Linked DNA regions of Mus musculus: all the other regions are reported to be linked to region 3. Evidence: microRNA targets listed by miRTarBase, many of them from high-throughput screens and not tested one by one. Region 3 holds a microRNA gene; each other region holds the end of a gene's coding sequence. Distances are between the middles of the regions.
What was found. Region 3 holds the annotated microRNA mmu-miR-374b-5p (AUAUAAUACAACCUGCUAAGUG, at 2,020-2,041, shown strand). A microRNA usually pairs through its seed, bases 2 to 8, with sites in the 3' UTR of a target mRNA and lowers its output. Matches are read on the target gene's strand: a 7mer-m8 pairs with bases 2 to 8, a 7mer-A1 pairs with bases 2 to 7 and ends in A, and an 8mer does both.

Region 1 (3,073 bases), not on the chromosome of region 3:
CAGGAACAGAACAGTTTAGCCGCCAAGGGCAGTGGGTGGGAGCTCCATCAGCTCTGTTTAATTTACTGCTGTTCTTTATAACTATTGTGTGTATCTATGCCTGTGGATATGTGCCTGTGAGGCTGGATCTCCTGGAGCTGGGCTTACAGACAGCTTGATATTAGTACTGGGACTTGAACTCAGGTCCCCTGGAAGAGCAGCAAGTGCTCTCATCTACTAAGTTAACTCTCTAGCACCAAGCTCTGGCTTCTTTAGTAGCAATAAAGGCTTGGCCACTCTACCTCCCAGAAAGACCCACTTGGCGGCAGTTTCTACAGATCAGAGAGGGATTTTGATGCTGTGTGGCCTCACGGTGGGCAGAAATAGAGGCACCTGGAATCTCACCATCCACAGTGGCCACCAAGCACTCCCCTGCGCCAATCTATTCCCCAGCACCGTCTGTACACTATACCTGGGCGTTTCATAACCTTCACAGGCCTGGTGGGTAGTTCCAGCTGCTGGTTCTTTGAAGGGTGACAGAGACGGTTCTGATGGGCTTCTCTCTCCAGGTTCTACAGCTTGAGAGGAAAGCATCGCAGACCCGGGAAGAACAGGTCCTGGAGCACTTCAAAGAGCCATCACCTATATGGAAACAGCTCCTCCCCAAGGACCCCTAATGTGAATCCAGATCAGCGGTGGCCGGCACAGCCTGACCAGATCTTAGTTACCTTTTAAGGAAGAGAGATTTATTCTAATGACATAAAAAATATAAACAAGAATGTTCTTTTTAAAGTGTATTTTATTATTATATATATATAGTCTCTTGCTTACATATATGTCTGTGTCCTACATGCATGCCTGGTACCCACAGAAGCCAGAAGAGGGCATTAGGTCCTCTGGGACTAGAGCTAAAGATGATTGTGGGTACTGGGAATCGGACTTGGGTCCTCTGTGAGAGCAGCCAGTGTGGCTTCACAGGCATGCGTGTAGGCAAAAAAGCCATGCACGTAAAAATAAAACTCATAAAATTCTAAACACAAAATAAGCTTATTGATGTGTACGTACATGTATATGTGTGTGTGTGGATGCCCCAAAGGCCAAAAGAGGACATCAGATCACAGGAGCTGCAGATGCAGGCAGGTGTGAGCCACCTGGTCTGGGTACTGGGAACTGAACCCCAGTCCTCTGAAAGTAACAAGCATTGTTAACCACTGAGCATCAAGTGTGCTGTCACGCTGCTCAGTCACAGTGCTTTCCGGTGTGTGTATGGCCATCATGGGCTAGGATGCCCCATGTGGGGATGGGCCTGGGTATCAGAACTGTGACATGACATGCTTTCTGACCAAGGAGGGGCATCTTAAACCTGAAAAACCTGAGAAGCCACTCCCCTCCACCCACACCTGCCTCCCTGCCCTGGGTTCCAGTGGGAACCTGGATGGTACTGCCAAGTTTGCTTGTGTGGTGTCAGGGAACCAGCCATCCTTACCCTTACCTTATCCTGTGGGAACCTTCCAGGTCTGAATGCAGTGGAATGGCATCTGGTCCCTTTCTCTGCCCAGAGGACCTTCCAGGGCTCTCCTCTACCCCGCATCTGTCCCTCTGTCCACATGCAGCCACATCCTCTGCCTGGCTCACGGGCTTAGCTCCTTCTTGCTAGGCTGGCTATCCAAGTGTAGAGTAGGGGCTACTCGCTATATCAGAAACAAAGATGAACACATTTGTGTCTTTTCCACAGTGTTAAGAGTTCATTGAATAACAATATATTCACAAGGTATAGATAGCTGTTTTGGTGGCAATAATGTGCCAGACAACCCGGCTTTCCTTGATAACCTGGCTGAGGCAAAAAGTTTCTTTCACTCCAATCTTAATTACTAATATTAACTATCAGAATATGCATAACATCATATAGCGTGTGTGTGTGTGTGTGTGTAAGTTATCGAGTAACCACAAAGAGTTGACAGGGAGTTCCCAAGAGGTCAAAGAAGTCAAAACTGAAAAAAAAAGAAGGTGCAGCAGTCTCTATTGATAAAAAACAGAAGCCAGGGATGCTGTGGCAACAACTACTACAGTGAAAAGGCAGGATTGGATCTAGGCAAAGAACCAGCAGGGATGGACAGACAGCAATTCAAGTAGGGTGCATGCAGTGGGAAACCAAGCCAAACTGAAGCCCCTGGCGAGTCAGGAGTTCTCTGCCTGTCAGTCCCTGATGGGCACACACTAGCTGTCAGGAAGGGCTATTGCCATAACAGCAGTTGGATTTTTTAGGCTGGTGGAGTTAGGGTTCTAATGTGCTTCTTTCTCCCGGTTCCACAGTTTGAGGAGAAAGCACCATAGAACCAGGATAGGATACAGAGGCCATTGCCTACAATGGAAGAATGGAAGCACTTACCCCAGAGGTCCTTAGTGTGACTTTTTAAATTAAGATGTATGTGTGTGTGTGTGTGTGTGTGTGTGTGTGTGTGTGTGTGTGTGTGTGTGTGAGAGAGAGAGAGAGAGAGAGAGAGAGAGAGAGAGAGAGAGAGATGTATGCACTATACTCTGTGCACAGGTGGCTGCCAAGATCAGAAGAGGATGTTGGAACCAGGGAAGCAAGCATGCAATTGTAAGCAGCCTGATGCGGGTTCTAGGAATTGAACTCAGGTCCTCTGTAAGAGCAGTGAACACTTAATTGCTGATTCATCTTCCCACCTTCCTACTGTGACTTTTTAATCACCAATAGTCAGTGTCTAAACAAACAAACAAACCAATAGCCAGTGTCCGGCGTCCAACGGGGGAAGCTATGCTCCCATCACTCAGGTGGAAGGACCCTGGGGAGTCTGTCACAGTCTCTCCTTGCAAACGGGCTGAAGTTGGGGGAAGCTTGCTTCAGAGAGAACAGGTCCTCAGCTGTGGGGACATGGAGGATGGAAGAAGAGAGAGCTAGGGAGGAACTGAGCCCTTTTCTGGTCTCGGGCCTTTCCTTTATTTCTCAGGCAGACCCCACTAACCAGGATGGCGGAGGAAGCCAGGAACCTGGCCTAGATTTTCTGCTAGGATAGAGGCTGAAATGCTCAGCCTAGACAGATACTATCCCTCTGACAGAAGCAGAAGAGAG
Region 2 (3,000 bases), 96 Mb from region 3:
AAACAGGGTACCAAAGGAACGGTTAAGGTCCCCTCTCTTAACCAAAATAGCCCATTAACCAGTACCGTTCTAGTCACTGTTGAAAATCCACATTGAGAAAAAAAAAATCCCTATCTCTGTGAGGTTTACATCATATCAGGAAAGGAGACAGGTTTCACAATGAACATGACATATTAGTAGATTATCAAATATAAGACGATAATAGGCCATGCATGATGGTGCACACCTTTGATACCAGCACTCAGGAGGCAGAGGGAGTTGGATCTCTGTGAGTTTGATGCCGGCCTGATCTACACAGTGAGTTCCCGAACAGCCAGGGCTATGTAGAGAGACCGTGTCACCAAAAAATCAAAAAAAAAAAAAAAAAAAAAGAAAAAAAATCCCTAAGTGAGCCTGTAGAGATGACTCAGGAGTTAAGAATGTGTGCTGCTCTTCTGGAGGACCCACATTTCACTCACAGAACCCACACTGGGTGGGTTACAACAATCTGTACATTTATCACCAAGGAAGCTGACCTTTCTTCTGGACTCCATGGACATTTGAACTTACGATTAAATAAAAGAATAAAAAAAAAAAAGTACTCTAAGTGATATATGGGTAGCACGAATGAGTCTTAGATCTCCAATCTAGTGTAATATATGAACCACAAATTAGTAAATTACAAATTGTGAGAAGGAAAAACATAGGGTATGATGCGAGAGATAACAAGCGGAGGTGTTTTAGACAGACAACCTTTGATATGTAGCTGGTGGTATATACCCGTGCCAAAATTTAGGAGGCAGAAGCAGGAGGAAAACAAGTTCAAGGCCAGCTTTGGTTCCATAATCGGACCCTAACTCAAACCAAAGCAAAACAGGGAGGTAGAGGCACTGTCGGGAAGTCAAGATCAGCTTTAGTGACCTAAGGAGCTCCAGGCCAGCCTTGGCTACAGGAGATCTTGTCTCAAAAATACTATCAACAACTAAGTCAGGTGTGCTGGTGGGTGCAAACCTATGAGTTCCAGCCACATGGGAGATGGAGACAAGAGTACTGCAAATTCACAGCCCACCTGGGTTATAGGATGAGTTCCAAATTGATCTGGGCAATTTAGTAAACTCTGTCTCAAAATAAGAAGTAGAAAGAGACTGGGCAGTGGTGGCGCACGCCTTTAATCCCAGCACTCGGGAGGCAGAGGCAGCTGGATTTCTGAGTTCGAGGCCAGCCTGGTCTACAGAGTGAGTTCCAGGACAGCCAGGGCTACACAGAGAAACTCTGTCTCGGAAAAACAAAACAAACAAAAAAGAAGTAAAAAGAGGCAGTGTTAGAGCACTTGCTTAGTGTGCAAGAATTCAAGTCTCAGTACTTGTAAAACAAAGCAACTCTCCCGACAGCCAGCCAGCCAGCAAAAAACCTCATTGAGTGAGTGACCAAAGCAATGGCTAGGGAAAGGTGTGTATGTAGAAAGCAAAAGCAAAGGCCCTGCAGTGCACCTAGACCTGGCCCGGGCCAGTTTGCCCGAAACAATGCTAGGAGGCGAAGGTCACATTCTGTCTGTGGGGAAGATAGGGCAGTGCTGCATTGGTGGGCCTGGGCGCACACTAACATCGTTTTTGCTTTTAAGTGAGATGCTACAACAGACAGTGAGGGAAGGACAGTGACTTCTGAATCTAGGCCAGTGGCCCAGCAGAATCCTTGAGGCTGCTGGGTGGGTGGTAGAAGGGGTTGTAAACAGGATAGAAGACAGGCACTTGGGAAGCACTCTAAGGAAGATAATTGTGAAAAAAAGGAAAAGGCTGGAGAGATTTTGAAAATAGGAACCAACAGGACTGGAATCCCCCCCCCCCCCCCACACACACACAGGGTCTCCAAGCAGCCTGGAAATTGCTTTGCAAAACAAGAGACCTAGGCCTGTCTCTAATTCCCCCAGAGCTGTGCTTAAAGGTGTGTCTCAGAGCCTGTCCAAGGAGTTTAAAAACAATTAAATGTGGGTTGCTGTAGAAGGCTCACCCAGGACCACATCTGCTCCCACCTAGATGCTGTTACCGTCTCTGTTTAAGACAGGATTGGGCTATACTGACCACGCAGGACTCGAGAACTTGCAATCCCCATGCCTCTACCTCTCAAGTGCTGGGATTATATATGTGCTCCATCACACCAGGCAGGGTTTTTTTTTTTTTTTTTTTTTCGCGACAGGGTTTCTCTGTATAGCCCTGGCTGTCCTGGAACTCACTTTGTAGACCAGGCTGGCCTCGAACTCAAAAACTCCGCCTGCTTCTGCCTCCCAAGTGCTGGGATTAAAGGCGTGCGCCTCCACCGTCCGGCGGCATTCATTTTTTAAAGGCCCAACAAAAAGGCATACTCGTGTTTCTAAGGCCTCCAGCCCTCCCCTTTTCCTCATTTGAAATTCCAAACTCTCTCTTTCATTAAAGGGTTAAGGAGAGGTAGCAGCTGACCTACATCCTGCTTTAGCGCTAGCGCCCTTCAAAACCCAACGTGTTTACCTTCTTCCACCTACTGGCGTTACCGCCTATTGGTTTACCAATGATTTCAAAGACCCTCCTCCCCTTCCCTTCCTGGAAACCTACACCACTTTGGTGATTCTCCACTGCGCAAGTGCCCCTACACTCCTTTCATTGGTTACTCTGAGCACTGCTCCGTCCCCTTCCTTCTCACGGTTCCTCTCATTGGCTAGTTTTACCAAGTTCACCTTTTTTTTTTTTTGGTTCTGCCTATCTATTGGTTCCTTCAAACTTCACTCCTTGTATGCTCCCTGCCTACCGCATCCGCCCAGTTGTCACTCACCAGATTACATCTGATTGGAGAAGGAGGTGGGCGCACCCTGTTGGCCGTAGCCTTGCTGCCCATAGTCGCCCTGAGGCCCGTAGCCACCGCCACCGCCGCTGGCTGGCTGCCCGTAATCGGGTTGATAACCACCCTGAGGCCCGTAGGAGTCCTGGGGCCCATAGCCTCCGGGGCCCTGCCCATAGCCCGCATCGCCGTAGGCATCGCCAGGAGCTGGTT
Region 3 (3,073 bases):
ACAAAAAAAACAGGCAATATTATTCACTTCTACATTTTGTTTTTGGAATAGCTGACAATGAAAATTACAAACAGTATTTTATAAACATAATCTGTAAATGGGAAAATCACATCAAGGATACATTCCCTTTGTCTACCTTGAAATGATCCAAGGCCAGCCTTGTCTACAAAGCCAGTTCCTGAACAGCCAGGGCTACATCGAGCAACCCTGTCTCAACAGGGTAAACAAGGAATGAAAGAAAGATTGATAGTCTCTTACTATGTTAGGTAATGTAGCTTTTATGCAAACTTTAATCAGTGGTTCTGAAGGCTTAAGTTTTCAGTAACATATTGTTGGAGAAATTTGTATCCAGACATCCTTATTGGCCTTGAATTCGTTTAAAGGTATTTTCTGCTCCTTGTCTAAGGGACTGCCAGAAAATGGGTTATACTGCAAGGTTGTGTTTAGTTGAGTATGGATGAGAATTGGGCTCAAGACACTGGAGCTGCTGTTCATCTTCCTACTTGGCTCAGAGACATGACGATTTATACCAGATTGTCTGTCCATTTTAAACTTCTAACTATGAATATAGATACACCTTAAGGGTCTTCAATTTCAAGGTGCTTATTACCCTATAATCTTAAACCCCAGGCTAAGATTATTTATTGATAATGCTGCCAACAAATGTCTTTTAACTCATGAGTAACTTTTGTCGGGGCTACAAGGGGTTTTTTAAGAGTCTGTTTCCCTCTCAGATCACTTTTTCATGTTGATCTAAATGTTTGTCCACAGTTCAAATCATTTATTATTATTATTATTCAGTTCTCTCAGTAGTCAGGATATTGAATTAGTCCCAAAGATGAGAGATATTCAGGTATATAGATTAAACCTTACAGGCTGACTAGTTACTCGCTAAGAGGTTTGGGGTAGGATATATGGAGGAGAGTTTTACAGGGAAGGAATTTTTTGTCATGGATAGCTGCCATCCTCTCATTCCTTAGATATACATTTAGTTTCTTCTCCATAGAAGAGCCGTATCTAGGAACTGCCAATCCTCAGTAAGACACGGAGATAGCAGCGGTGCCCCATCATTCTCATCTGAATAGTCTCTTGTCACTGGCAGGCTTTCTCCTGAACTTTATTTTTCTTTTGAAGTGTTTAGAGACTTGAAATGTTCATTGCTTTACTTTGAAGCATCAGATATGTGTAATATCCACTCTAGGGTTTCTGATCTCAAAGCATTATAAAGCAAGGCATGTTGGCACATGCCTAGAATCCCAGCATTTCGGGTCCTTATACAGGAAGACCATCTTGACTTTGAGTCCAGTCTGGGTTTCATAACAAGTCCCTGACTGAAACAAACAACAAAATCTATGAACATGTTTTCTACTCAGACCTATCGTATTGATCTTTACTATTCAAATAATGCATTTATAATGAGGACAATTTTACTTAAGTAAATGGTTCAGATTTGGGAAAGGAAGCTCTGAAGTGTGCATGCAAACAGTGACTCTAGGGTTTGGGCATAGGCATTAGCTGGCCTGTTTGTTAATTGCGTCCACTCAATGCTATCTTAGTTATTGTTGCTGTTAATGATGGAGCGGGCAATGCAAGAATTAAAAGAAGAAAGTTAATTATTATTATACCTTTTGAATGGTCAATGGTGTTGTGGGGAGGGATCATGGACGTTTTTAATGATTCACTAATGTGAAGTTAGCCCATGTAGGAAACTCGATGATTCTTCCATTCATGCTCTTGATTAGTAATCTATTGCCTTTCTTCTTTGTTCTAAGTTAAAAGCTTTTGAAAACTTGTGTTATAGCTGAATAAAGGTTTTTGTATAAACACAGAAAAGGATGTTTGGGGAATGGTCACAGTTGACCTGAAGCCGAATTCTAACTGATAACTAGCTATGTTAGTTCTTGTGACTGTCATCCCTGGAGAGCAAGAAACAACAGCTGGCCTTGGTGATCAGGAGAACTTCATGGATCGCGCAGCAACCTGGAGTGGTGTTCCTCTGAAGAAATCCTACTCGGGTGGATATAATACAACCTGCTAAGTGTTCTAGCACTTAGCAGGTTGTATTATCATTGTCCGAGGTTATGGCTCTCGTCTATCAAACTAATCCGTAAGGGCAAGGATGGTGACTTTGTACTCACAGTGCCTAATCCGGTGCACATTGTAGGCCTCATTAAATGTTTGTTGAATGAAAAAATGAATCATCAACAGACATTAATTGGGCGCCTGCTCTGTGATCTCCATGGGCTCAGCTTGTTCCTGCCAGTGGCCTTCAACGTTCAAGCTCTCCGCAGCGTCCTTATTTCTGCAGCTCATTCCTGTGTTCTGTGTAGTATAATCATAGTGGATATATTTTACCTTTCAAACCAATTCCAATTGATTGATAATTGTGCCTCGACTGTGTTTTATAAAAAGGATTCCATATCTGGTTCTTTTCTATCCTGAGGGTGTGGAAGGAAGGGATAATAGCTCATGTACCATAAATGTGATATTTTCTATGAAATACTGTATTTATGCCTGTGTTTTGGAAATGCCTGCTTGTCATTGTTGCATCTCTGTTGTTGTTACTATAATCGCTACCGATTACTCCCTAGGTTGGACTACAGTGATCACTGAGTAGGAGCTTCGTCTTTAAAATCTGGGGTGTGCTGTTATGGTTGGTATTCATTTTCCTTTACCCGCTTTCCCCATACCTCCATTTATAATTTTATTGCTGCTCATAGCTCCAGAAGGATATAGTAACAGAGCAGGCATGGCCTCAGTGTGGTAAGCTAAGTGAGAACAGGAAGTGGAACCAGGGTAGAAAACCCCAGTCTTGCCCCTAGTGACACACCTCAAGCAAGGTTCTCCTTCTGAAAGGTCCCATTACATTCCCAAATGTAGCCACCACCTGGGATATGAGTGTTCAAATACATGAGGTAGGGCCACGGTGTTCCTTCAAAGCACCACAGAGGGCAGAATGTACACCCTGCTAGAATAGCTTTCTATGAAAGGATCCATCTCTTCACTGGAGCAGGCAGACATATGAAGAAGACAACTTGGAGTGGTCGTGAAAGGATTTGAGGTTTGGCATGGA
Region 4 (3,073 bases), not on the chromosome of region 3:
CTTCCAGTCTGGTAGGTGGAGGGTGAGCACTCAAGGGAGGGCAGAAAGAAAAGTCACCAAGCCCACCACATTCCAGCCACAGTCACCACCGGCTCGCTTCACTGCTAACGTTGAGTAACCAGGTTTGGAAAGCCCACCAAGGGCACCTAAGTTATCATTAAAAGATAAAACCAGCTGGGTATGGTGGCAGCATCAGGGGGCAGAGGCAGGTGGATCTCTGAGTTTGAGGCCAGCCTGGACTATACAGCAAGTTCCAGAACAGCCAGGGCTACACAGAGAAACCCTATCTTGAAAAACAAAAAACAAAACCTAAACCAAAACAAAACCCACACTGGATGGCAAAGCACATGCTCACATTTAAAAAATGGGCTGGAGTTTAGTCTACTGAGATTTCTGTCTATTGCTTGAGATTTGGGGAGGATGTGTTGATGCGTGTTATACAAAGTCTTCCCTTCCATGCAACGACACAGAAGATCTATCCCACCCCCACCCCAACTCAATATATAAAATGCTTTTATTTTGGCAATTTACCATGAGAACAATATAGATATAAATATAAACGGGAATTGTATTGTTAAAATCCCCTCAGCATGGTGAAAGATGGCCAGCCCTCAAATGTCAGTAACTCTATCCCAGGCTGGCTGCGAAAGGAGGCTACACATATGGATCCACCTGACTGTAATCAGTGAATCTCAACTTCTGAAACCTGTAATTTGAAAAAAAAAAACAAAAAAAACTTATTATAATTACACCTCCTTTCTTTCTCAACTAAAGCTGGTAGATAGAGGTAAAAAAATAATTAAAAAAAAATCAGAAAGTCCACACAGCAAAAATTCAGTTATGACAATTTTGGCAAAATTACTTTGAAATGCCCTGTTTTTAATATACATGTCACAAAATCCAGTGCTTTCTACGGAGTCCAGGCAGGCACAGTCTGCACCAAGGATGGGAAAAGGAGACTCTGTTTTAAAATTTCTTCTGTTGATCGTAAAGTTATTGCTTAGTATAAAAAAAACGCATGGATCGAATCAGAGTTGATGATAAAGGTCATGATTTGTTAGGTGAACTCACACCGACACCCACACTTGCACTCTGCAGGAGAGTCCAAGTCCTTCTGATTGATAGCAGGATGTCCTGGCCAGGGCCTGGAGACTCAACCCATTGTCACACTGGAGCCTGGACAGCAGGGGCAGCACCGGGATATTTGGGGCGAGGAGCTCAGTGAGAAGAGCCACGCCAGCAGGTGCAGCTCCCGCCCAGCATGGCTTCGCCACGCTGCCATGGCCACCAATACTTGCTTGGGGTAGGAAAGCGAGGTCTCCCTCTGTGTTAGGGACAGCAGACTCCTCCGATGATGTACTGAAGCTACGCTGAAGATGTGAAATCCCTTTCAGAACAAGAGGAGAGCTGGGTGCTTGGTACAGGAAAGGGGCCATGAGGGCTGCTGGAGGCCCTGCTGGGGTCTCTGCCCTGCTACTTGCAGCTACAGGGGCTGGCTGTATCCTGGGGGCTATGGCCAGGGATGGCTTCTTCCCAAACAGCTCCCTCAGCAGCACCCAGAGTGGACAAACTGCTCTTCTCACTTACAGCTCTGTGGGGACCAGTGTCTCAGAGGTCCCACCTGCCTGAGACGCAGAGCTCCCGCAAGCTGGCCTCTGTGCTGAGCAAGTGGTGCATGGCCTCATCTCGCCAGAAAAGGACCCTGGGCACTGAGTGATGGGTGCACCTCTTCAGGGATTTCTACCAAAAGAATTTCAAAGCACGAGAGGCAGGGCAGGCTGCTCAGAGTACCCACCTTATATAGAAACATGCTCGATGCAATCAACGAAACAGAACAGCAGTTTTGGCCTCATCAAAAATATGTCCTCTAAGAACATAAAACACAACCTAACTCCCAGAATCAAAAGGGCCCGAGGGAGGGTACCTGTGAACGGTTCCCGCGGGTGGGTCTAAGAAAGAAGAACACTCAAAATACCGAAGCTTTACAGTGCCATGCAGAGCAGACACCCAAGGAGACAGAGACAAAAACAAAAACAAAAAAGAAAATCAAACCAGCGGTCAGCACCAGCTTGGCCTGCCATATCTTCCTTGGATAATTTACGATGCTGTACAATATTGGGAGCTCAGAACACTCACCCACAGTGCAGTCAAAGAGCAATTAGTGATTTCCTAAAGACAATAAATATGGCTCACTTGTGAGCACTCCCTCCCCTGGTGCGCCTGCCCCTCTGTGGCACCTGTGGCGAGGCAGACATCCACACCCACACACCCCACACAGACCCACGGCCTGAGGTGCTCAGGTCCTCCAATACTCGTGAGCCAGAGCAGTGTGGCAGTGTGGCCACTTCGGCAGGATGCCCAGCACGAGTGCAGGAGCAGCCCAGGCGAGCGGGCAGACGAGCGCTGCAGAGGGAGTTGCTTCCTGGCGTGGTGGCCCCGCTTTCCATCACTCCTGAGCCGCTCACTGTCTGGTGCCAGTCAGCATGGAGTGGATTGCGTTGCTCAGGTGGACAAGCAGGAGCGCTGCTGGCTGGGAGAGTGTCTACAGCCAACTAGTCCTTGTCTCCGTCTTCACTGCTGCCTATGTCCAGACAGAAGCAACATAACAGCGCAGGTCAGATTTAAGAGCCGACTACCCAGAGAGTGCCAGCATGGAGGCGAGCAGACCAGAACGGCAGGAAAAGGAAGCATAGCTGGTGCCCTCCTGTGCTGCCCTGTCTCCCCTCCTTCCCACAACCTGCAGGGCTGCACACACAGGTGCTTGGCTCCCACAGAGGCTCCATGGTCACACTCGGGCGCTGACCTGTACACCTGCCCCCAGAGATCCTCAGGCTCTGGCATTATCTCATCGGCACAGGTGAAAACCAAGTAAACAAAAGTGCTTTATATCCTACAGTTATTATTTGATCTGTAAACTTCAAGTAAAAAATGTACCTATTAATATTTATCTCCTGATCTTGGTATAGGGAAAGGGGCCCATATGTTCAGGTATTGCTACTTCAAATGGCCCCTGCTGTGAGTTCCCAGCTGGCCGTCCAGTATCACACAGAGACCAAGACTTAATGGCAAAATC

Region 1: miRTarBase lists Nadsyn1 as a target of mmu-miR-374b-5p. Seed matches in the 3' UTR shown: 7mer-m8 at 783-789.
Region 2: miRTarBase lists Syp as a target of mmu-miR-374b-5p. The part of its 3' UTR that is shown has no 7-base or 8-base seed match.
Region 4: miRTarBase lists Lmtk2 as a target of mmu-miR-374b-5p. Seed matches in the 3' UTR shown: 7mer-A1 at 741-747.

What each region holds. Positions count from the first base shown.
Region 1 is chr7:143,793,532-143,796,604 of GRCm38, reverse strand. Nadsyn1 (NAD synthetase 1) reads left to right here. Exons shown (of 21, transcript NM_030221.2): 21 at 549-1,014. The coding sequence ends at 656. Among named protein-coding and RNA genes, the nearest start is that of Mrgpre, 11 kb to the right of the region's middle.
Region 2 is chrX:7,648,669-7,651,668 of GRCm38, reverse strand. Syp (synaptophysin) reads right to left here. Exons shown (of 7, transcript NM_009305.2): 6 at 2,782-3,000. The coding sequence ends at 2,786. Among named protein-coding and RNA genes, the nearest start is that of Prickle3, 7.2 kb to the left of the region's middle.
Region 3 is chrX:103,572,080-103,575,152 of GRCm38, reverse strand. It overlaps Mir374b (microRNA 374b), which reads left to right and starts at 1,999; the gene lies at 1,999-2,093. The region is part of intron 9 of Ftx (Ftx transcript, Xist regulator (non-protein coding)); the gene reads left to right. It overlaps Mir421 (microRNA 421), which reads left to right and starts at 2,157; the gene lies at 2,157-2,232. It overlaps Mir374c (microRNA 374c), which reads right to left and starts at 2,068; the gene lies at 2,020-2,068.
Region 4 is chr5:144,184,224-144,187,296 of GRCm38, reverse strand. It overlaps Lmtk2 (lemur tyrosine kinase 2), which reads right to left. Exons shown (of 14, transcript NM_001081109.2): 14 at 1-2,581. The coding sequence ends at 2,553. Among named protein-coding and RNA genes, the nearest start is that of Bhlha15, 4.5 kb to the left of the region's middle.